Linked DNA regions of Drosophila melanogaster. The protein of the gene in region 4 interacts with the protein of the main gene of each other region in a pairwise test. Each region holds a gene or a part of one and is shown on either strand. Other genes may lie near its edges.

What was found.
Region 1: the proteins of LManIV (region 4) and Tif-IA interact in a two-hybrid assay, tested with the Drosophila melanogaster proteins (one large-scale study listed by BioGRID).
Region 2: the proteins of LManIV (region 4) and spz6 interact in a two-hybrid assay, tested with the Drosophila melanogaster proteins (one large-scale study listed by BioGRID).
Region 3: the proteins of LManIV (region 4) and CG13731 interact in a two-hybrid assay, tested with the Drosophila melanogaster proteins (one large-scale study listed by BioGRID).

What each region holds. Positions count from the first base shown.
Region 1 is NT_033779.5:22,248,331-22,252,902, forward strand, and holds the start of Tif-IA (Tif-IA), read left to right. Parts: upstream 1-1,545; 5' UTR 1,546-1,768; coding exon 1,769-1,984; intron 1,985-2,041; coding exon 2,042-2,523; intron 2,524-4,572.
Region 2 is NT_033778.4:24,755,445-24,760,979, forward strand, and holds spz6 (spatzle 6), read left to right. Parts: upstream 1-1,933; 5' UTR 1,934-2,050; coding exon 2,051-2,071; intron 2,072-3,053; coding exon 3,054-3,352; intron 3,353-3,412; coding exon 3,413-3,739; intron 3,740-4,139; coding exon 4,140-4,770; 3' UTR 4,771-5,022; downstream 5,023-5,535. Other genes in the region: Usp15-31 (ubiquitin specific protease 15/31), read left to right, coding at 1-529, 594-644.
Region 3 is NT_037436.4:17,383,123-17,390,684, reverse strand, and holds CG13731 (uncharacterized protein), read left to right. Parts: upstream 1-1,728; 5' UTR 1,729-1,937; coding exon 1,938-1,940; intron 1,941-4,222; coding exon 4,223-4,291; intron 4,292-4,350; coding exon 4,351-6,657; 3' UTR 6,658-7,049; downstream 7,050-7,562.
Region 4 is NT_033779.5:8,768,622-8,774,058, reverse strand, and holds LManIV (lysosomal alpha-mannosidase IV), read left to right. Parts: upstream 1-1,714; coding exon 1,715-1,798; intron 1,799-1,861; coding exon 1,862-2,232; intron 2,233-2,289; coding exon 2,290-2,760; intron 2,761-2,810; coding exon 2,811-3,642; intron 3,643-3,705; coding exon 3,706-4,884; 3' UTR 4,885-4,900; downstream 4,901-5,437. Other genes in the region: LManV (lysosomal alpha-mannosidase V), read left to right, coding at 1-1,055; LManIII (lysosomal alpha-mannosidase III), read left to right, coding at 5,390-5,437.

The DNA.
Region 1 (4,572 bases), about 13 Mb from region 4:
TTTAGCCAAAATCTTTTGATTTCTTTTTTAGGTGCTCTGCTTTTGGAAAATTTGTTCTATAGTTTGGATATCGCAATATGCATTCAGCGGTAAACAGCTGTTTAAGCTGTTCCAGACAACATAGCTGCCACATATTTCATAGTTTTAATTACGATGTCCGCAATTTCTTTTTTGTGGCACTTTGACCACTTAAGTAATTAAATCAAATAGAATTATTTACAAACAACACTATTGGCTCTCCTTTAAATAAATTAATGAATTCCTTCTATATATTTTATATGCCTGTTTCGTTTCACCAACAATGTTTGACCCCTTGACAAATCCAAACTTTTGTTGCCGACATCAAAATTTTGTTAGTCAAATCTGAAGTGGCGTCAGCAATAAAAATTTTATTAAATAAATTAGTGGCAGAATGATCTTGTTATGATGTGCAATAAGCATCAATAGACCACTGAGTAAACTATTTCTTCTCTTGAGTAAATAAGTTCTGTTTTAATATGAAAAAAGGCATTTACTTTTCATTTCGTGTGTCCGCTTTACATATCGAAAAAATCGTAAAAAAAAAACCGAATAATAATTAATAATTAATTTTATAAAAGCCACTCATATAAATATTTAACAGCATATATGTACATGCCACACTGTTCATTTCTTAGCGTAATGAAATAGTTTAATAAGAAATATATGAATCTATATAGGCGAGATCCGCATAATTCATCGTCATAGGATAAATTGTTTTTTTTTTTTCTGGAATCTAATTTCAAAGATTGTAGTAGTTTCAGCGCGAAACATCGATGTTTTTCACAAAAATCGTGGATGTAACATCGAAGTTTTCCGATGTTCTCTAAAATAAAATTAATATTATCATTTACACTTGAAATATAAGAAAAAAGATTTAAATATTATTAAATTCATTTAATTTAATATGTAGAATAAATTAAATATAAAACGTATAATAAAATTACAATATAAAATCAATTAGATTTAAACTGGTATAACTGGTTATATTAGAAAATTAAAAATCAGTGAGAGCTGTTCAAACAGTTGCATTTTAAGGATATCTTTTTATATATGTACATTTTGTATTTGATTTTGTATTTCTTCGGCATACCTTTAGCGTTCTAGGTCTTCTTCTTGTTATTCGAATAGCGATGATCCTAATAGCATCCATAGTCTACAATAAATATCGATGTTTCGGAAAATTTAAAACGTCTATTATATTGACTGTAGCGTTAGCCCCTTAAAATGGTTAAACTGGGATGTCAAATATTCTTCCACCATCAAGGACAGAACGCTTTTTAATACAAAATTAAGCAAAAATAGCAATTTCTCTGTCAATCTGTCCCGATTAGAAATAACTATGCGTCTAGGTGATGAAAATTTAAAAAAAAAGCTATTTATTATCTTTGGCTTGGAAAAAAGAATTTGAGGGTTAGTATATTAGTTAAATAAAACGAGTTTTTTAATTTAGACTAACATTAAATTTTGCTCAATGAGCACGTTAAAAAGCAAAAGTAAAGAACGTGTATTTATGGAGGGTGTGCGGTATAATTTTTCGAAATTCTATGGCCACACTGATTATTGGAACTCAAAACAACGTGCATATTTCCAAGTAAAATTCTTACGATTTGTGCTTTAAAAATAAAAATGAAATTCTCTTTCAAAAATAATTTATTATCTAGAACTTATTTGTATGCATTTTACGTCAGTGTGGATTATCCTTTCGAACATTAAGTTCAAACAGAAATAAAGCTATTATTAATTTAATATGTCCTTCTACACGAGTAAGACGGATGTGACTTCCATTTTAAAGACGTTTTCTGGCGTAAAACGAAATCAGGCAAATGCCGTGGCCATCAACAAAGTTCGATTTTCCACACCCAAAGAGAAGGGGCTCGCAGAATCAGTGCGCGTTGCCCTAGAAGAACGAAATTTCCATCTGGTCAAGGAGTTCACATACTTCCTCCGGGAAGCAGAACTCAGCGTAAGTTAAATTAACATAATTGTTGGTTATTCTTTACGTTTGATTTCTTTTTTTAAGGATGATGAGGTTGTAATAATCATAAAAGATGCTAAACGAATTGTTCATAATTTGACTCCAGAATTTGTAACCGTTGTCGAGGCGTTACTGTCCCTTAACTGGAAGAAAAGAAGTTCAGAGATAATCGAAGCTTATACTGAATTTTGTATCGAACTAATGGTGACCCATAATAGATATTTACCGATTGGAGTCTCTAAACTAATTGTCCACTGGATTCCTGGAGATATGGATGAATCCGATTGGGTCCACGGATGCCCTTCGGAGCACGTGCGAAATGAGTTGAAACCCATCCATAAAGTACTGGATCGCATCTTAACTGCCGTGCCAATGGCTTTCGATATTATCATAGATGCCATATCCGCCAAATTCCCCTATTTCAAAAAGCCGTACCATGTGACGGCAGGGTATCTGTATAACGTGCTTTGGTTATTAGAATACAAGCCTATTTTCGAAGAACTTGTTTTTCAACTAGTTTTACAAAAGTAAGTACTTTACTAATTTATTAATTTATATAAAGCTTGCTGATTTATACCTTACACTCAGTCCTTGTTGTTTTTAAGTCAAAATGATTTAAACTCTTCAGCTCAAAGAAGATGGGTTCGGAAAAATCGAATTTTTGAAATTTAAAAGCTGGAATCGTTTGCCCATTTTTTGCCCATGTTTGCCCACCAATAAGTTTTTTTTTTTGCCCACGTCCAGGTTTTAAGATATAAATTTTCGAAAGAGTTTAAAAATTTTCAAAAATCAAAAATTTTACTTTTTTCAAACATTTTTTTTAAATCGCAATAACATCGTTTGTCCACGTTTGCCCATTCTTTGGAATTTTGAAAAAATGTATACTTTAGAAAATATAAGTTTACCTCGGTCTAAACGTTTTTCGCCACGATTTTTTCGCCGTGGCTCTATAGATGGCTCCAGGCTCTCTCGAATTTTTGTTAGAGAGCGAGAGAGCTGAGAGCGCTACAGCGAATCACACATAAAGTGATAGCAGACAACTGTATGTGTGCACACGTATGCTCATGCATTGTAAATTTGACAAAATATGCCCTTCACCTTCAAAGTTCTTTGACTTTAAATCTATATTATTTTTGATCAATTAGTACCATGCGAAAAATTCTTGTTTTGCATTGCCTTAACGTTATTATTATTTGATAGAATAGAATAGAAATAGCCAAATCTATGTACATATTATCACAAAAATAAATTTCAAGAATATTTGTCATTAGAGTATTCATCTTGAGGCGTGTGAAAAATTAATAAGGCAATGATTGTTGAGTGCTTGTGTCCGCACTTCGTGCCTCAAGATATGAACAAAGCAAAGACACTAGAATAATTCTAGTTATCATATTTTTATGAAATTTATGAAATTACAGTAGTTATAATAATTTCTATTGTACTTCCTATTAATAAGTATATTTATTAAGTCATTTGACTTAAAAGGATGTAACATTAACATTAAAAGTGTTTAAAAAAAAATATTTCGCTTTTAAAAAATTGTCAGATGAGAGACAAATTAGAATTAAACATAACAAATTTTAACAAACAAATTTAAAAAACTTTAAAATTATAATAGTCAGGGCGCGAATTTTTAAAATTTTTTTTATTTTATCATATTGCTAGGAAATTAGCAAAAACTACCCTAATATGTACAATGTAAATTCGTTTCTTCGATCAGAATTGATTTCGGAACGAAAATAGTCTTCTAGCACAACACGCACACATACGCGTTCTCGTCTCTTGTTTTTACTCACACAAGTAACCAAATTATATTTTTAGATTTCTTACGCTCTCAGCGGGAGTGAGCGAAAAGAGAGTAATTTTGGCCGTCACCAAAAAAGTGGCTGCATAGTGCCAAACCAATGTATGGCCGTTACGCATCTTGTTATTCTAGTGTCTTTGGTCAAACGCTTTATTCTCTGAGTAGACCGAGGTAAACTTGAATGTCTTATATTTTCTAAAGTATACATTTTTTCAAAATTCGATAGGGTGGGCAAACGATGTTATTGCGATAAAAAATTTTTTTTAATAAAAGCGAAATTTTTGATTTTCGAACTTTTTTAAAAATTTATATCTAAAAAAATGGACGTGGGCAAAAAAAAAAACTAATTGGTGGGCAATCATGGGCAAACGATTGAAGCCTTTAAATATCTAAAATTCAATTTTTCCGAATCCAAAATTTTGCACGGATTGTAATTTCCTGGAATTTTTCCTAGACCTCAATTACGAAATAAATATGATGTAATCGAATTTCTTTCTGTTATATCTCTGTGAGCTTCCGAAACACTAACGAATTGAATTACTTCACATGAAGTGATTTTTGTATCTGATTCGTGAATGTTTTATATTCATTATTAACTTTTCAAGAAGCATTGATAATCTGCGGTTGATGCCCGACATATACGAAGACTAATAATAAATAAGAATAAAGCGGAGAAAGTGAAAAATGTAGAAATTTAAAAGAAATACGTTTTTCGTCACAAATGTTGTTAGATAAATTTTTGTTTGTGCGCTTTGTTGGATCAGAATGTAAA
Region 2 (5,535 bases), on a different chromosome or scaffold from region 4:
CTCCGAAGCCCCAGATGTGAGCGAACTAACCGCCGAGTCCAAGACCAATGGCCACGTGAGCTCTTCGTCCAGCTCTTCCTCCTCGGAAAGCTCGCTATCGTCCCGCTCCTCGCCGCGATCATTGAGTACTTCAGTCACAGCTGCATCTACTCTGCAGAGCAAGTTCAACGGCCACATGAGCGCCGCTCCAGCTCTTTTCAATGGAAATGGAAATACGTCACAGCTCTCGTCCAGCTTGCAACTATCCCGGCATGTGCTGCACAACCATCAATGGCACGGATCTAGGAGCAGCGTGTCAGCTGTAGAGAATGCTACGCAACATCAACAGCAGCAGGCGGCGGCCAGTCTGAGCCTTCGTCATTCGTTTTCCACAAGTTCAAATTACACGGAGACACTATCATCCTTGCTACGCAAATCAGCAAATACATGCAGCAAGGACACGCTGCTGTTTATCGACCAACAGAGTCACCATCATACAGCCGGACTGATCGAAGATGACGATGATTCATACATGGGCAGGTCCCTTTGGGTATGTCGAGATAGTTGTAGAATACCTGGAGGCATTCTTACTAAATTTATACGTCCTGTTACAGATATCGCCCGTAACGCCACACAAACTCATCACTGTTTCGCCCAAGAATTAGATGCGATATTATAATCCATATGGATGTATACTTTGGTAAAGAAACCCGAAAATGAAAGCGAAGCCGAAACAAGAATATACAAAACGCACTATAGCCATAAGCCTAAGGTTTACTTTATATGATATTTCTTAACCGGAGCTCCCGAGCGATAAGCTCGGGATGAAGATGTTATACAACTTTGTTTAATTTAAGATACGTACTCATATATACGATACTTGCAATACTGCATAACGTTTGAAAGTTTGATAAAACTTAAATATATTGTATAAGCATTAGACTATTTATTCAAAGCCAATGACGAGGATTAGTTTTCTTTATATTTCACCGAATTGACGAAGATTTTTATAACCTAACGACTACCGATATTTATTTAGCCAAACAATGAAGTACAATTTTATTTGATTGAGTTTTTCGTTCAAACTATAAATCTTCTTGTATAATTCCCTAACGATTTTTATGATGAAGTGCTTGGCATGCCTAAGTTAAGCTTTTTTTACATGAAACCAAGTTTCGGACTAAAATCTATGAGCATAGTTATAAATGTAAGGACACGTATTCTCTTTAATTACGATTACTTTGAATTGTACATTAATCTATCTGATTGTAACTTTTCCACAACCAAAAAATTCTGGCACAACTGCATATGATTCTTTCGATTCGTTGTCGGGCTACGTTTTGTGAATCGTTTATAATGCGGATCTATATACAAACATATATATTTCTTTAAAAATAATGTATTCTATATGTAGACGAAAGCATTACACCAAAACATTATATTGATAAAAAATGTTTGAGGACTCTACCACATTGTTTTCTGGAGAGAAAGAACTTTATTACGGTGTAAAATGTTCATTGTATTCATAAATAAACGTGAAGTTGTTGAATATGAAGTATGATTTGGAAGTGAACTAATAAAAATTAAAAAAAAAACACTTGGCTGGGGTTAGGAAGGTCTCTTTATTGTTGCATAAGCATCAGTTCTCAAATATTGTTGAATCCTGACATGTTCCGAATTCTTGTAATCCTGGATCGCAATATTGGCCATTTTCTTATTCATAACTGACGTATTAGCCAGATTTTCGTCATTGATGGAACGGATAGAACTCGACAACATTTTTACATTGTATTGAGCCGGAAAGTATGCTTCTGTTTTGGTTTTCATACTTGGCTCTCTCAAAATATGCATAATTCAAAGTAAAGCTTTCTTTCTTTCCACTTTCTCATGCTCTGGCTAGTTTACCGGGCTTACAAGCAGCCAGAGGTTCAACGTCTGCAGCGACTTGGTCGACAACTCAGTTCAGTTGGTGCACTTGACGCGTCTGGTTCTGCTTCCCACCACTGCGGATTAAGCCAAGCCTGACGAAGGCCAAGTCCAAGAACCTTCTACAAGAAGCAAACGAGCGGAGATGGATTATCGTCTAGTGCTGGTATGTCATCATTACGGGTGTGCTAACTGCACACTTTTTCTATGGCTCGCTGGTCAAGTTCGTTGCCCAAGTCTTTTGTTTTGCAATGCGTTAACATTGGCGAGCTAACCGCTTACGTTTACTGTTACTCAGTCCCTGGGAACCGCCCGATTCTGGAGCATGCTAATGAATTAAGCTAACCAAAGAGCAGCGTACGTTCCGATCCGTTCTGCCCCTTCTTCTAGTTCGGTCTTCTAACTACTGGCTTTTGGCCGGGTGCCGAGCAACTTTCCCGTTAGGCGTGTGGCACGCATATTGGGAACAGAGCGCCAACAAGTTCTTTCCTGACCAGATCAAATCAGCCTGTCTTGGCCCCGAAAGGCGGTTAGGTCTTCATTCTGCAATTGAGCTACCAATATTTACCTATGCAAATTGTGCTCTTTCCATTTGGGAGCTCTCTCGCAGGGCAAACAAGTTTCTGCCTCATTAGAAGGGAAAAAACAAAAGAACGAGCTTAGCGGCTGACCCGATTTTGGATTCCCCGACGCCGCATTCAAATTACGCTGTGAACCGTGTCACAAAGAGAGAAATTCCACAGCTTCTTGGCACTGCAGCCGCCCACCGATCTGTACCACTTGACCTGGATTACTCGGGTCTGTCCGTGGAACTTTTGGTTTCATTGAGATGCCACTGCCCAGAACTTCAGGGAAAGTTCCCTCGAACAATTAATGGTCAAGTGAGCACAGCGGAGAGATGCTGAAGTGGCGTCTCGATCGCAGTTGCTGCCTCGGTTTGTTTATCTTCACAAAAACAGAAACAGAAACTTTCGCGCTTTCGCCAAACAACAAAACATCGAAAAGTGTATGTATGGCCGGGTAAAAGATCTCGATTCTTTTTCCGGACAATATTGGGCCATTCACCGACTCTTCTGGGCAATTAACTCGACTCCAGACGGCTACGGCCACTGATTGTACCTCCACTGTGACTATCTTTTGTTTTGTAGAAAATTCTCAGCTTTCTGCTGCTGGCCCAATTGGGTTTCTCCCAGCCGCAGCAGCAGTCGCCATCTGACTACGGTGAGGAGCAGCCTCCGGAGGGTTATTACGCCTTCGTCGAGTCCCCGAATGCGGTGCCTCCCAAGGTCAGGCCGCCACCTTACACCTTTGTAAATGCGGAGTGCAAGGACGTGGCCGCCGGCAAGAAGTCTGCCGTGTCCGTTCACAACATTTGCGGAGATCTAAACAAGGGTCAGATACCCAAGAATCCGCTGGGACAAAATGTACTCGGGGAGCCCTATCCCTTGTAGGTGAAAATATTTGCGTAACAAATTTCAGACATCTCTAATGTACACCTCCTCCACAGCGAACTTATTCGCAACCAAACGCTGAAGTTCCTTTCGAAAACTTTGCCCGTTCTAAAGGCCGACGATACCCTACCCAAGGTCACCCAGATCATTCGAGATGAACCCGTGGAACAGCTGGACAGCAACAACATCGACAGGCCCTATCCCGCAGGAGGTTCCACTCGCGTCCGCCGCAGCCTGCCGGAGGGCGTGGAGTCCAACGAGTACAGCTACTTCGATCCCGCCCTGGACGAGGAGGAGCAACACAAGCAAAGGGATCGGAATAACCAGCAGAGAAGGGCCGCCGAGGAGAGGAAGCCAAGGAAATTCTGCGATGGCGGTGGAGTGTAAGTTTTTAGCATGGAAACGGGGGAGTAGAGTTATTCCAATCTTAACTGCTACATAAATGAAAGATAAATATATCGTATTTCTTAAAGCACGGGAAAGGCGCGCATATAAAGCTAAAGAGGTCACCACTTAAAAATTATGAGTCATCTTTATAAAATTATAGATTCGAAGAATTATCAAGGCAAAGAACCCAAATGAGCTTGTCATTTCACTTTCCACATCATAATGTAAAGCCATACAACTAAAGAAGCTCAACACTTTAATCGACATCCATAGATATTGTAGAATAGGTTAAGAGAGGAGTACATCATGGGGTATTCAACTGCTTAGCATTTTGACGACACAACTGCGTGCAGGTCAATTAATAAAAGATTTTTAAACTTTTAACTCCACCCACAGATTTTGCACCTTATACAGGGCAATTCAGGGAGACACCGGAGGAGCAGCCCCTGCCACGCCCACTGCGGAAAGGCGCGAGGAGGTGGGTCCCATCCGGTACGAGGGTCCTCCCACTCCCTGTCCCGCCAAGGTAGAGTACGCTACTCCCGTCTTCGCTAAGAACTACCAAGGCGCCTGGCGTTATGTGGTCCAGATTCCCTATGAGGGCTACTTCACCCAGACGGTGGAGGTGACGCGTTGCATTCAGGCACGCTGTCACTACCTGGACGGCGGTTGCTTGTCGTCACCACGCTGGGTAAGCCTGTTGGTGGCGGAGATCTTCTACCCCAATGCGGAGGACACAGTGCCCACCAGCTCGACCACCACTCAGGCCCCTTCTGTGCAGGATTTCCAGGCCTACCAGCAGTACCTGCAGAAGAGGGCAGGCGTGGCTACCGCCTCCGACGGAACCTCGTCTGGAGCAGCCGGCCCCGCGGCGCAGGTGGACGCCCACTGCGATGGACACGATGAACTGGGCTGCTTCCAGGTGCGTCTCTACTACGACTGGTTCCTCATCCCCGGCTCTTGCAAGTGCTGGCGCCCGGACTACTTCGCCAAGTACGTGCGCCGGAAGTCGGTGGCCGAGTTGTGAACACTTCCTGGACAGGATTTTCGAAGGAAATCCTTAGAATAAGACTAAGTTCTAGCCTTTAGAGGAACACAACTTTGAGGTGAAAGGCTCATTCTAGTAATCCACCCGGGTGCCCCACAGCCCTATACGGATCACGCAGAGTTTGCAGTTCGTGCATCTACCAGATACAATCTTAACCTAGGCGGTTAGCTCCCTCTTTCGACTGATTAAGCCAAGAGCAGTGCATTTCTACTAATAAATACGTTTCTACCTAATCATAAGAGAGCCTCTCTATTCGGCACTTTGCTGAGACTGCGATGTGGTATTGGCCTAGCCTGTGTGTGTTAGCCTCCTGGAACTCTCTCAGCTGCGCTTGTGTTGGAAGATCCACCGAAAACCCACAGAAACCAGTCGCGCAAGTTGCGCATGCGTGCGAGACTCGGGCCCAAAACCTCGGCCGCTGATCTAGTGTGCAGTCAATATAACCAGTTGGTTGGCTTTGGGTGTTTTGGCCGGGGATCCAAGCGACCGAGCTGCATTACATACACAGAATAGTTGCAGAGTTTGCGCAGAAGCCTTGACGAACGGCCTCAAAAGGCTGCCAGACGAGCCGCGGACTCGGATTTCAGGAGCCAATTTTCCGCATAGCTTGGGTAAGTCAGCCAAATGGAGGGCCGTCTCTTTGTTTATAAACAAAATAAGCAACCAAAGTGGACTAAGGTACAGATGCAGCTGCGATAATAACATTGAGTAAACTTGGTACTTGAAGGCAAGAAACTAACAAAA
Region 3 (7,562 bases), on a different chromosome or scaffold from region 4:
TAAAACATAATGAAAAACTAGATATTATGATTTCCGCGCCCGAAGACAAAGGCTCATAACAATTCACATACGAGCTCTGAAACTTCCCTAGATTAACAAATATATTTTTAAATTATCCAAATAGCAACCTGTCTAGAATGCGGTTTAGAACAGGCTCAAGCGACGGTCTTGTTTGATTCGAAAACCGCTAACGTCCTTCAGTGGAGTCCAAAATTTGAGGCAGCAAATTATCAGACACTCGGTATGGAAGTTGAATAATCGTCTGTTGCAATGTCGGATGAGGTGACAAAAAAAGGCTTTTCCTCTAGCCGGCAGTCAAGAAGCATTCGATGAGCCAAAAACTAAAAAAGAAAAAAATAATAAAAACAATTCAGTCGCTTCAGTTATCCGCAATGACAAATTTGAAATGTCAGCAGTCGCCGCCAAGTGTCATTGCCTTTGTGAAGATGTGCGAAGCAAGTTATGACCCGAATAAGTTAGCCAGCAATTATGTAATAAAAGACAAGAATTAATGTGGCTCTAAGTGGCGTCTGATGGCCGCAGGGGTGACTTCCGTTCGGCTGCACTTCCTCTGGGTGTTGTTCCGCCGTTTTATCTAGACCCTGACTACCCAGTGACCACGCACCTTTGGGCCGAAAGAGTTCAAAGTCACATCTATTTTGGGCCCGCTCATGACTGCGCGTGGCCAGTGGGTGTCACTCTGATTGGTTCATTAAAATCAAGACGTGACTGCTTGCGAATAAATAAATTCTAGTTATTAAACTGGCGAAATGCAGGCGATGACAAATGCCGAAACCCGTTTGGGAGTCGCTCGAAGAATGCAGCACTGAACACCGATCACCGATCACCGATCATCGAGATCTTCGAGTGTGCGTTTAAAGGTCACTCGGCTGACACGGAGTCAGAGATGAGCTGAGCCGAGCTGAGCCTACCTTAACATTCAACTCCGGCTGCCATCTGCTGACCCCCGGGCACACGCATTTTTGGCCAAGTCAACCGGTTCATGTTCAATTGGCCGACTCCAACTCCAACATCGACTCGCAACTCCAACTGCATTTAGGCCTGATCCGAGGGGTAAGTGCCATTAGCCAACGCCTGATCTTCTCGGCCTTATTTGCCTTGGCAAGCTTCGTTGGGAGCCTTGACTTGGCTCTCGATCGTCGAGCCAGCTTCGGCTTGTCTCATCGATTGATGAAATTCGGTGGCTCGGACCCATTTACCAAATTAAATGCTGCACGACAACGTGTTTAACACTCGCCGCAGACTTCTGCCAAAAGTACGAGCATATTTGCCAGCCATCGGAGTTGGCTAAATAGAAATGCCAACAAGAGCAGGCGTTGGTGGATGGATGGTCGGATGGCCGGATGGTGCGTCTGGCTTAGTTGCTCTTCTGCCATAATTGCTGGGCCTTAATTTGGCTGCCTTTTTGTCTTAGCCATGTTATCTGGCTGTTAACTCACAAACATCAAACAACCGAGACTGGTTGGCTTTCTGGTCAGCATTCAGCTGTCGGCGTCGCTGTCGACGAAGGCTGAGGCATCAGCAGCGGCAGAGACTTCGTATTCGGCTCATCTTCATCTGGCCAAAACGCTTTCGATTTCGGCTTTTGGCCGTGTGTTAACAGCTGTCGCCCAGGTGAAGATGCCTCTGCCGACGCCGCTGCCCAAGTGGGCAGATGCTGGGTCCGAGTATATATAGAAAATCTACAAGTTTTGATGCTTTAGTTGGTATTCCACACTCGACCTAGAAGTTAAACCAACTTAGCTTGGCATCGATCAAATTCAATCGTCCATTGAATTTGATACGATCGGTCGCGTCTTCTCCTTTCCGATCCTCACAGTACCGTCCGCAAGGATTATTCACGCACACCGCCTAGGATTACCTACGCACCCGGGATTACCGCAACTGCCGTTTGTAGCAGTCCGAAAGTGTACACCATGGTAACCGAACCCAGTTCCAATCCAATCTAAACCAAAACGAACAATGATCGTGTGCAAAGTGCAAAATAACGAAACAAGTGTCCCTCGGTGTGAAGACAAACAAGACAGACATTTCGCAAAGGAAAAGCAGTGCAGATGAAGATAAAAAGTATCAGTTTTGTTGGTCCAAAATATTTAGGGAGTTTCCACGTTTTATAGTTTGGGCTTGTGACAGTACAGAAAATAATTGAACGAATACGAATTTTCAATGATATTTGTATTCAAACTTTAATTTTAAATTAAAACATTTCTTGTGTTAAAATAATGTGTCAGCTATTTAGCGCTAGATCTTCAGAAATTTATTAATCCGAACTTGTATAAAAGGATACTAAAAAAGCATGTTCTACAATTTTATAGGGATACAATCATAAAAAAGGGTTATAAGATAAGATAGGGCCTTTAAGTTCATTCAAAATCATTCCGATTTTTCTCTGTGCATACCCAAGCATCGCAAACAAGAAGAAATAGCAAATAAATTGCCAACACCGACTGCAGTTCCAATTCAATCGCCATCTATTTGCATTTCACATTTTGTCGAGGGTCCAGCTCTGGACCCGGGCTATCATCGCGAGTTAAGAGTTGACCAGATGGCGGTTGACATTTAAGCCATGTAGAAATTGAGCAAGTGGCATCGAGTGCAATGTTACGCATACGCCGTGTTGGCCGCCCACAGAGCAAATCGCCTTGGCGCGATCCGCAATTTGCGTATTAAGTCATTAGGATGGACCAGCTGCATGTGCATTCTGCCATGTGGCGGCAGTTTCTATGTCAGCATTGACATGGCTGAAGATGAAATTAAAACTTGTTTTTTTTTCCATAATTTTCGCTTTTGCTTCTGACATTTGCTAGTCGCAATTTGCGATTGGCGTATTTAGGTAAATAGCCATAAAAACGTTGCCTTAAGTTAGATTCTTGACGTTGCCATTGAATAGACGTCCATTAATCACCATCATTGTTGCCAAAGAAGATTTCATTTGTTAAAGGGCCGACTGATCTTTTCCCCAGACTTTAATTCACCCAAATCTCTCACAGTTTCGGAAAAATAAAGTTGCCCCAAAAGTCTTGGCATTGGGGCTCTGCCCTCGAGGCGGTGTGAATCAGATTAATTAGCTGCCAATTAGCTCACTGAACAGTCGAGGGAATCGGTTTGCCCCTGCAAATATCTCTCCAAGTCCTTTCACTTTCTAACCTTTAAGCACCACCCGCCATAAGTCAAACCCGATTTGGTTCTCGATATCCTCAGCTCAATTGTGGCTGATATTTAAAACAAGTTAGAACAGCAAAAATTTTAGGTTCATTAGCATAAATTATTTAAAATCATTTACATACAAAGATCAAATATTTTTGAAATTAGCAAACAATCAGAAACCAACAAAAAAAATAAATGAAACTGGACCCAGTCGATTTTGGAGGTATGGCTTAAAATCTAACAGATTTGGTTATAAATGACAACCGGGGCTTACTATTCTTCGCATGCCAGATGCGTATGCTAATTTTGCGTTTTCTCACTAGTTTTATGGCCAGTCTTTGCTGATTATTATATAATCATGGCTAGAACTGGTCTGGAGTTTGGGGCCCGGATCCGGGCCGGTTTCTTTCATAATCGGCTATTTTTATAGCCCCCGAAAATTCTCCGTCAGCCAATTAATTGAGCTCATCGACACTGGCCATCTGCGGCCATCGACGAGCACTTTCATTAACTAACAATGACCTTGCCGAAACTCCAGCGACAAATGCAAATAAACCCGCTGACAGCATCGTCGGAAGCCATAATTCAGGGGCTACTTCCTCGGATCCCCATTGAGCTTCGGATCTGTTGTGTCGCTCCGCATTTGCATGGGCATTATGTATCAATCGCGTCAATCTGCGATATTTACATACATAGCTCCGGGGGAGGGGACTGACCTAGAGATGCTAATGCCCGTCAAAGTTGAATGTCTGCGTTAGCATTTCGGGTGATTTTCAATGCATTATGGTAAATCGATTCGCCAGCTTGGCTGTTTGTTGGCTGAACTTTACCACAGTTTTGAACTGCAGGCCAGCGGAGTTGCCTTGCCTCCTCCGACCCCGACCAAGTTGCCACGAAGCGTGAATAGGCGATTAGCCTAGAAGGCGATCAATTAGTCGCAATCAGGTTGTTAGAGCCAGTCGTTAGTCTGAGCACCTCTGTACGGCGACACCATCGAAGTCCATCAATATGTAGCATCACTAATCAGGCTGTGTTTTTCGTTCCTTCCCCACAGAGAAGTGCACTGTTCGTCTTGGCGCTTTGCGTTGTGGCTGTGGCCACCGCATCGGCCGATAACCATGAGGTAAGTGCGGAAATCTGACGATTCCCTGCCAACAGGAACTTACAAGCCACTTTTTACAGCGCAAGACTCGTGCCGCCGAGGGATACTTCTACCCCCCTCCCGATGTTCCATTCGATCTGCCCGTCCGCACCACACAGCCGCCAACAAGGCCGCCAACGCGCCCTCCTACTAGGCCACCCACCAGGCCACCCACCAGGCCTCCCACGCCACCACCAACCTACCTGCCGCCCACCAACAAGCCACTGCCACCAGTGACCACCCGTCTTCCTCCACCACCACCACCACCAAGGACTCCTCCCCCAACGAGGCCCCCAACTAGGCCACCAACCACTCGTCCTCCGGCAACCTACCTGCCACCCACCAACAAGCCACTGCCACCAGTGACCACCCGTCTGCCTCCTCCACCACCATCACCAAGGACTCCTCCACCAACGAGGCCGCCAACTAGGCCACCAACCACTCGTCCTCCAGCAACCTATCTGCCACCCACCAACAAGCCACTGCCACCAGTGACCACCCGCCTGCCTCCTCCACCACCACCACCAAGGACTCCTCCACCAACGAGGCCCCCAACTAAGCCACCAACCACTCGTCCTCCAGCAACCTACTTGCCACCCACCAACAAGCCACCGCCACCAGTGACCACTCGTCGTCCAACACCACCACCAACGAGGCCACCACCACCACCGACCCGTGCATCGACTCCAGCTCCTACCTACCTGCCTCCCACCAACAAACCACTGCCACCAGTCACCGTGCGCACCACTGTTCGCACCACTCCTCGTCCAACTCCTCCTCCTACCAAGCCACCAACTCGCCCACCAACCACTTATCTGCCACCCCCAACTGTGCGCACCACCCGCCCTCCTCCACCACCCACTCGGCCACCAACTAAGCCACCAACCACTTACTTGCCTCCCGTTACCGTGCGCACCACCCGTGCCACCCCCCCACCAACTCGCCCACCAACCCGGCCACCAACCTACCCACCGACCACTCGTCGTCTGACCACTCCGGCTCCTACTTACTTGCCACCCACCAACAAGCCTCTGCCACCGGTCACCGTTCGCACCACCGTTCGTACCACTCCTCGTCCAACTTTGCCTCCTACCAAGCCACCAACTCGCCCACCAACCACTTACCTGCCACCCCCAACTGTGCGCACCACCCGCCCTCCTCCACCACCCACTCGTCCACCAACTAAGCCACCAACCACTTACTTGCCTCCCGTTACCGTGCGCACCACCCGTGCCACCCCACCACCAACTCGTCCCCCAACTCGCCCCCCAACCCCTCCTCCAACTAGGCCACCACCACCACCAACCCGTGCATCGACTCCAGCTCCTACCTACCTGCCTCCCACCAACAAACCACTGCCACCAGTCACCGTGCGCACAACTGTTCGTACCACTCCTCGTCCAACTTTGCCTCCTACCAAGCCACCAACTCGCCCACCAACCACTTACTTGCCACCCCCAAGTGTGCGCACCACCCGCCCTCCTCCACCACCCACTCGTCCACCAACTAAGCCACCAACCACTTACTTGCCTCCCGTTACCGTGCGCACCACCCGTGCCACCCCACCACCAACTCGCCCACCAACCCGGCCACCAACCTACCCACCCACCACTCGTCGTTTAACAACCCCGGCTCCTACTTACCTGCCACCCACCAACAAGCCTCTGCCACCGGTCACCGTTCGCACCACCGTTCGTACCACTCCTCGGCCAACTCTGCCTCCTACCAAGCCACCAACTCGCCCACCAACCACTTACCTGCCACCCCCAACTGTGCGCACCACCCGCCCTCCTCCACCACCCACTCGGCCACCAACTAAGCCACCAACCACTTACTTGCCTCCCGTTACCGTGCGCACCACCCGTGCCACCCCACCACCAACTCGCCCACCAACCCGGCCACCAACCTACCCACCCACCACTCGTCGTTTGACAACCCCGGCTCCTACTTACCTGCCACCCACCAACAAGCCTCTGCCACCGGTCACCGTTCGCACCACCGTTCGTACCACTCCTCGGCCAACTCTTCCACCCACGAGGCCCCCAACTAAGCCACCAACCACCTACCTGCCTCCCCCAACTGTGCGCACCACCCGCCCTCCTCCACCACCCACTCGGCCACCAACTAAGCCACCAACCACCTACCTGCCCCCCGTCACTGTTGTGCGCACCACCCGACCTCCTCCACCACCCACTCGTAGGACCACCGTGTACGTGCCACCACCAACAGTGCGCACCACCGTGTACGTGCCACCCCCTACGCAGCGCACCACAGTCTACGTCCCACCCGCACCCACCAAGCACCAGGGCTACCAGTACCCCGTGCCCAGCATCCCCTTCAACTTCTAGATCTAGAGATCCAGATGTGATTAGGGATAGGGCCATCGTCTAGGGCTAGATTGATCTAGTCAATTCTCGTACAGTCTAACTTTACACGATCCGGCGCCAGCGGTGCTAGAGGGCGCCACTGGTGCGCCTGCAAGGACGACATTTGTTTGTTTTTATTTTATTTTTGTAATTAATGAATCGCATACTCATACAGCTAGGGATCATTGTAAATGAGTGCCCCAATTGTACAGCTAACAGTCTATCCAACTCTTGCTATGTTCTATCACTATTCTACAATCGATGGGCGGCCGTCGTCTGTGACGGACGCCAGCTCAAGACTATATAGCTCTATATTACGATTAAATAAACTTTTAATTCGGATCGCTGAAACCTGAACAATAAAATAAGTTTTTCGAATATTTACAAGCATTTTTTTCATCTGTTTTTGGGAAGCGGAAATTACATGCGGTCCTGTTATGTTATGTGCGATGTTTGAAACCCAAACAATAATAACATATTTTCTTTTTCACTCCTAACCGGGAAATGGGATCAAGCCATGTCCGGGAGATTTTGTGGTCTGGTTGGTCTCGTGGGTTCCTCCTCTTTTGGGAGTTATCTTAAAAGTCGGTTTTAACGACTATGCAAAGGAGATCGTTGCTTGCAAGTCATAAAGCGCCCAAAGTGCAGGTTAGGCAGTTAACCTTGACCTCCACTTCTGGTCTCTACTAATTTAAGTTATGGATGTGAAACACGTTAGCTTAGTTAATAGGTTTGAAAAGTTCGTATGAGTAGGTATTTAAATACATGTATGTTTACTATGAGCGATGTATATTTTCATGAAATATGAAATAATTTAACCTTAGGTTATAATTAAATGTCAAATTTGAGATATAGTTAAAATGTGATTTGAACTTATGACTTTTAAA
Region 4 (5,437 bases):
GTCAGTACAATCAAGGAGACTTCGTCATCCAGGAAGATGGTGTCGAGTTCACTGTTTACGATGGAGCTTTAGTCAAGGAAGTTCACCAGCGTTTCAGCGAATACATTTCGCAGGTCATCCGTATCAGCGAGGACAAGCCTTACGTGGAATTCGAGTGGCTTGTAGGCCCTATTCCGGTTGAAGAGGAATTTGGCACGGAAGTAGTAACTATCTTCAGCAGTGAAATTGCCTCCAATGGCGTATTCTATACTGATTCCAATGGACGCGAGTTGATCAGACGCGAAAAGGACAAGCGAGAGGACTTCACCCCCGAGCTTGCTGTCCAGCCTACTTCCGGAAACTATTATCCCATCACATCGCGCATTGCTCTGCAGGACAGCAACAAGCGCCTTGCGATCCTAAACGATCGTGCTCAAGGAGGCACCAGCATGAAGGATGGCCAAATTGAACTTATGCTGCACCGTCGACTCGTCCGTGATGATGGCTATGGAGTGGGAGAGGCCTTGAATGAGGAGAAGTACGGCCAGCCCTTGATTGCCCGTGGTAAGGTGTTCCTAATCCTTAACGCCGCCGACGAGTCCACGTCCGCCGAGCGCGAAGCCGAAAAGGAGTTCCATCTGCCCCTTTGGAAGTTCTTCAGCAAGAACACTGGAAGCACCACCGCTGCTGCCAAGTCGGTTCCCAGCTTTGACGACTTCCCCAAGTCGGTGCATCTGCTCACCCTAGAACCCTTCAACGACGATGAGATTCTGCTGCGTGTGGAGAACTTCAAGGATCACATCGAAGGCAAAGTGGTTAGCTTTAACATTCGCCCGATCTTTGACTACCTGAACGGAGTCGAAATCCGCGAAACTACCTTGGATGGCAACCTGCCCTTGAGTGACATGAAGCAGTTCAAGTTCCACGCTGAGGGTTCAGGAATTAGGGGATCAGAACCTGAGTACTACACCTCGTCCCACAAGCCGCTGTCCGCTAACCAGACGCAAGATGCCGCCGAGTTCGCTGTCACATTGTATCCAATGCAGATTCGAACATTCATCATTAAACATGAATAATTGTATTTCAATGAAAATCAAAGAAATAAATAAAATTATGTCTGAATAAAAACACTGTTGTTTTGCTTTAACTTATTAGGAAATAAGTCCCTCATACATACAGGGAAGTAATACGAGTCATATGAAAATTTTTTAAAACTTTACAAAATTCAATTAACCGCACGGGTTTAACCCAATTAACTCTGAGGTTTTACTTTAGAAGTTAGTGGAGTATTACCATGTTTATATGGAATTAACAGTTACGGCCTCATATAATTCAAGTTACTTATGACTGTTGATTACTTTTATTTTATAAGCAGTGTGCAGAAACCTTTCCCACTCACTACAGAGAGTCTCAATCATATAATTTTTATTTAAAAAAATGTATATTAAATTCTTTTTCAATACGCTAAGTTATCAATAAGGGCGCAAGTGCATTTCAGGAGCTTCAATCCTTGAAGTGGTTGATAAATAATGGGTCCAATTCTTATCGCTACGTGGAGGGTGGGCATTCTAAAAAAAAGTATTCACCAAGTTTTTAATAACCCACTAATTGCTAATTAGGTTACCTTATCTTAGTGACCATCATGTATTTTCTTATCAATGCCTTCTTAGAAACGGTGCGCCCTATAAAGGAGCAGTCTTGGTTTAATGGGAATTCAGTACTTGGTAATGACAAGATGACTTATTTGGGTCGCATTTTATTCCTGTCCATCTTATTGGTGCTCTTCGCAAAACAATCCGAAGCAGTTTGTGGCTATGAGGTAATATAAATTTGTTGATGCTTTTCAAAATGATATCACTATATCCTTTGATATTATTTGCAGTCATGTCCCGAAACAAAAGCGAACATGGTTAACATCCATTTGGTTCCTCACTCCCACAACGATGTGGGCTGGTTGAAGACAGTTGATCAGTCTTATTATGGTTACAAGAACAAAATTCATCATGCCGGTGTCCAATATATATTGGATAGTGTGGTGTCCCAGCTCCTCCAGGATCCCAAGCGTCGTTTCATTCAGGTGGAGACGGCATTCTTTGCCAAGTGGTGGAACGTCCAGTCAGAGTCCATGAAAAAGGTGGTCACCAAACTGGTCAACGAGGGACGTTTCGAGTTTACTGGCGGAGCTTGGAGTATGAACGATGAGGCAAATGTCAATTACCAGGGTGTTATTGATCAATTCACTGTGGGATTAAAGTGGGTTAATTAGAAACACTAATATTCCTTAGTCTTTGATTACTCTAATCTTCGTAGGTTCCTCAACGAGACGTTTGGCTCCTGTGGTCGTCCTCGAGTTGGCTGGCAGATCGATACTTTTGGACACTCCCGCGAGCAGGCTGCAATTTTCGCGCACATGGGCTACGATGGACAGTTCTTTTCACGAATGGATCATAACGACAAGGACACACGTATGAATGACTTGACAATGGAGATGATTTGGGATGCCAGTGAATCGATGAGCGGCGTCAGTCTCTTCAGCGGCATGTTGTACAACTTTTACTCGGACACTCCAGGCTTTTGCTTCGACATACTTTGCACTGATCAGCCCATTATTGATGGTGACAGCGAAGAAAATAATGTGAAACAGAGGGTAGATGACTTTATAAGTTATGCAAAGAATGTGTCTGAGGTGTATATCACTAATCACATCATGGTTCCTATGGGCGGTGATTTCCAGTACGAGGACGCAAAAGTTAACTACAAAAATATGGACAAACTGATCAAGTAGGTGTGATTAAGAAACACAAATCGTTTATAACTTTCTTTTGCGTTAGGTACATCAATGAACGTCAAGCGTCTGGTTCAAAATACAATATCTTCTACTCCACTCCAAGCTGCTATCTGAACTCCTTGCACCAGAGCCTAGAGTCCTGGCCAAACAAGACTCAGGACTTTTTCCCATACGCTCACGAGAAGAATAGCTTTTGGACTGGATTCTTTACTTCCCGACCCACTCAGAAACGATTCGAGCGTGATGGAAATCACATGTTGCAGGTGGCCAAGCAGCTTTCTGTACTCGCGAATCTTACTAGCGAAGAGCATAAAATAGACCTGGATTATCTGCGCCAGGTCATGGGAGTGATGCAACATCATGATGCCATTACGGGCACGGAGAAGCAGGCTGTCTCGGATGACTATGATCGAATGATGTACGAGGCCATTGTTGGGGCATCTAACAATGCCCGCGATGCCCTGCGTCTTTTGACCAACATGCCTTATGGAGAGTTTGAGAGTTGCCTGAGGTTGAACATCAGCGAGTGTGCTTTCACCAAGGATGGTGCTGATAACGTTTTGGTGACCCTATACAATCCCCTGGCCCACAGCTCCACTCAGTATGTTCGCATTCCTGTTAAGGAGGAGAACTATCAAGTAACCGATGAGAAGGGCAGAACAGTTCCATCGGAGGTGGTTCCAGTGCCGTGGCAAGTTTTGGCATTGGAGTACAGATCCAATGATACCCAGCACGAGTTAGTTTTCAAGGCAACGGTAAATAAGGTATCCAGTTACTCTATCAAAAAAGTCGAGAGCTCAGAGGTCAAACATTCATCGATAAAGAAGATTAATCCCAGAGAAGATAACAATTCAGAGACTGTTGTAGAAAACTCGGTAAGTGCATTTGATTGTCTAATAACTTAAATGTTTTTTATCCCTACGATATATAACCCATAGGTTGTTAAACTAGTGATGGACAACCATACAGGACGATTGAAGTCGGTCGAAATGAACGGTGTGTCTGAGAAAATAGTCCAGAACTTTGGCGTTTACAAGAGTCACACATCCTGCGCCTACACATTCCGCCAGGATGGAGATATAGAATTGTTTGAAAATGATTTTGAGTTCACAGTCTATGAAGGAAGTTTGGTCAAGGAAGTCCATCAGCATGTGAACGACTGGATTTCGCAAGTGATCCGTATCTACGAGGGCGTAAGCAGAGTGGAGTTGGAGTGGATGGTGGGCCCTATTCCCATCGATGATAAACTAGGTAGTGAATTTGTGACAAACTTTAAGAGTGAGATTTCTTCGAACGGAGTTTTCTATACCGATTCAAATGGACGTGAATTGATGAAACGTGTGAAGGATAAACGCGAGGACTTCGTTTCCGACTTAAGCCGACAGCCTGTGAGCGGAAACTTCTATCCAGTCACATCGAGAATTGCTCTTCAAGACGATACCAAGCGTTTGGTCCTCCTGAATGACCGCTCCCAGGGTGGAGCCAGTTTGGAGGATGGTGCCCTAGAGATGCTGATCCATCGTCGTCATCTCTTCAACGACGGTGGTGGAGTGGGTGAAGCCCTGAATGAGACGCAATATGGCAAAGGTCTGATTGCCCGAGGAAAACTTTACCTCATTCTCGATTCCGCGACAGATGGAGATACTGTGACGGAACGTAAGACTGAGAAAGAGCTCTTCCTTCCCTTTTGGAAGTTCTTTAGCAAAACTGGTGGAGTCGAAATAACTCCATCCAAATCCCTTCCCGACTTTAATGATCTTCCGCAATCCGTTCACCTACTCACCCTGGAATTCTTCTCAGAGCAAGAAATTTTGATCCGCTTTGAACACTTCTTGGATAAATCTGAAGGAAGGGTGATTAGCTTCAACATTCGGGATATATTCGATAGTCTTGGCGGTTTGGCGATTAGGGAAACAACCTTGGATGGAAATATGCCACTGAGCGATATGAAGCGATTCAAGTTCCATGCACAAGAATCCGGAACCAAGCCGTCATCCGTGGAATATTCTACGGCACAGCACAAGCCACTTGAGGCTGTCAAATCGGATGAGGCCTCACTTTTTGCTGTAACACTATATCCTATGCAAATTCGCACTTTTATTATTAAAACAGAGTAAGAAAAGTATAAGAAATAAATGATCAAAATTAAAATTACATTATTCTTATCTTTTTGGGGTCATAATCATTATCGGCTACTTCTGCATGTGGAGCTTTCCCTTTCCTGAAGATTATAGCTCGCTTGAGTGTAATCCCAAAATGGAATGGTGCTCGCAATAGTATACACATTGTAATCTTTAAGTGGGCAATTACCAATTAAAATCCATTTAAGTTATTGAATGATAAGAATTGCAATTCATGCCAAATCGAAGTACATTTTGATTACGTTAGAAACACTGGAGCACTGCATGTGGCCCAAATAAAACGCATGGTACTTACCCTTTGAGACCTCTCACTAGCGGTTGGTTTTAAGTTAATTACCTCTCTCGACTAGTTAAAATTCAAAACATTCTGAAGTGTTGATTACTTATCAGATAACCCCCCATTGAGAAGTTTATAAAAGTGGCAACTTTTATTGTATAGCCAGTTCTTGTTGTGCAGTTGCTGGTTAGGGAACTCTGCAAGATGAGTTCTGTAAAGAACTTGGCCATTTTGTTGGCCTTGTTTGCCTCT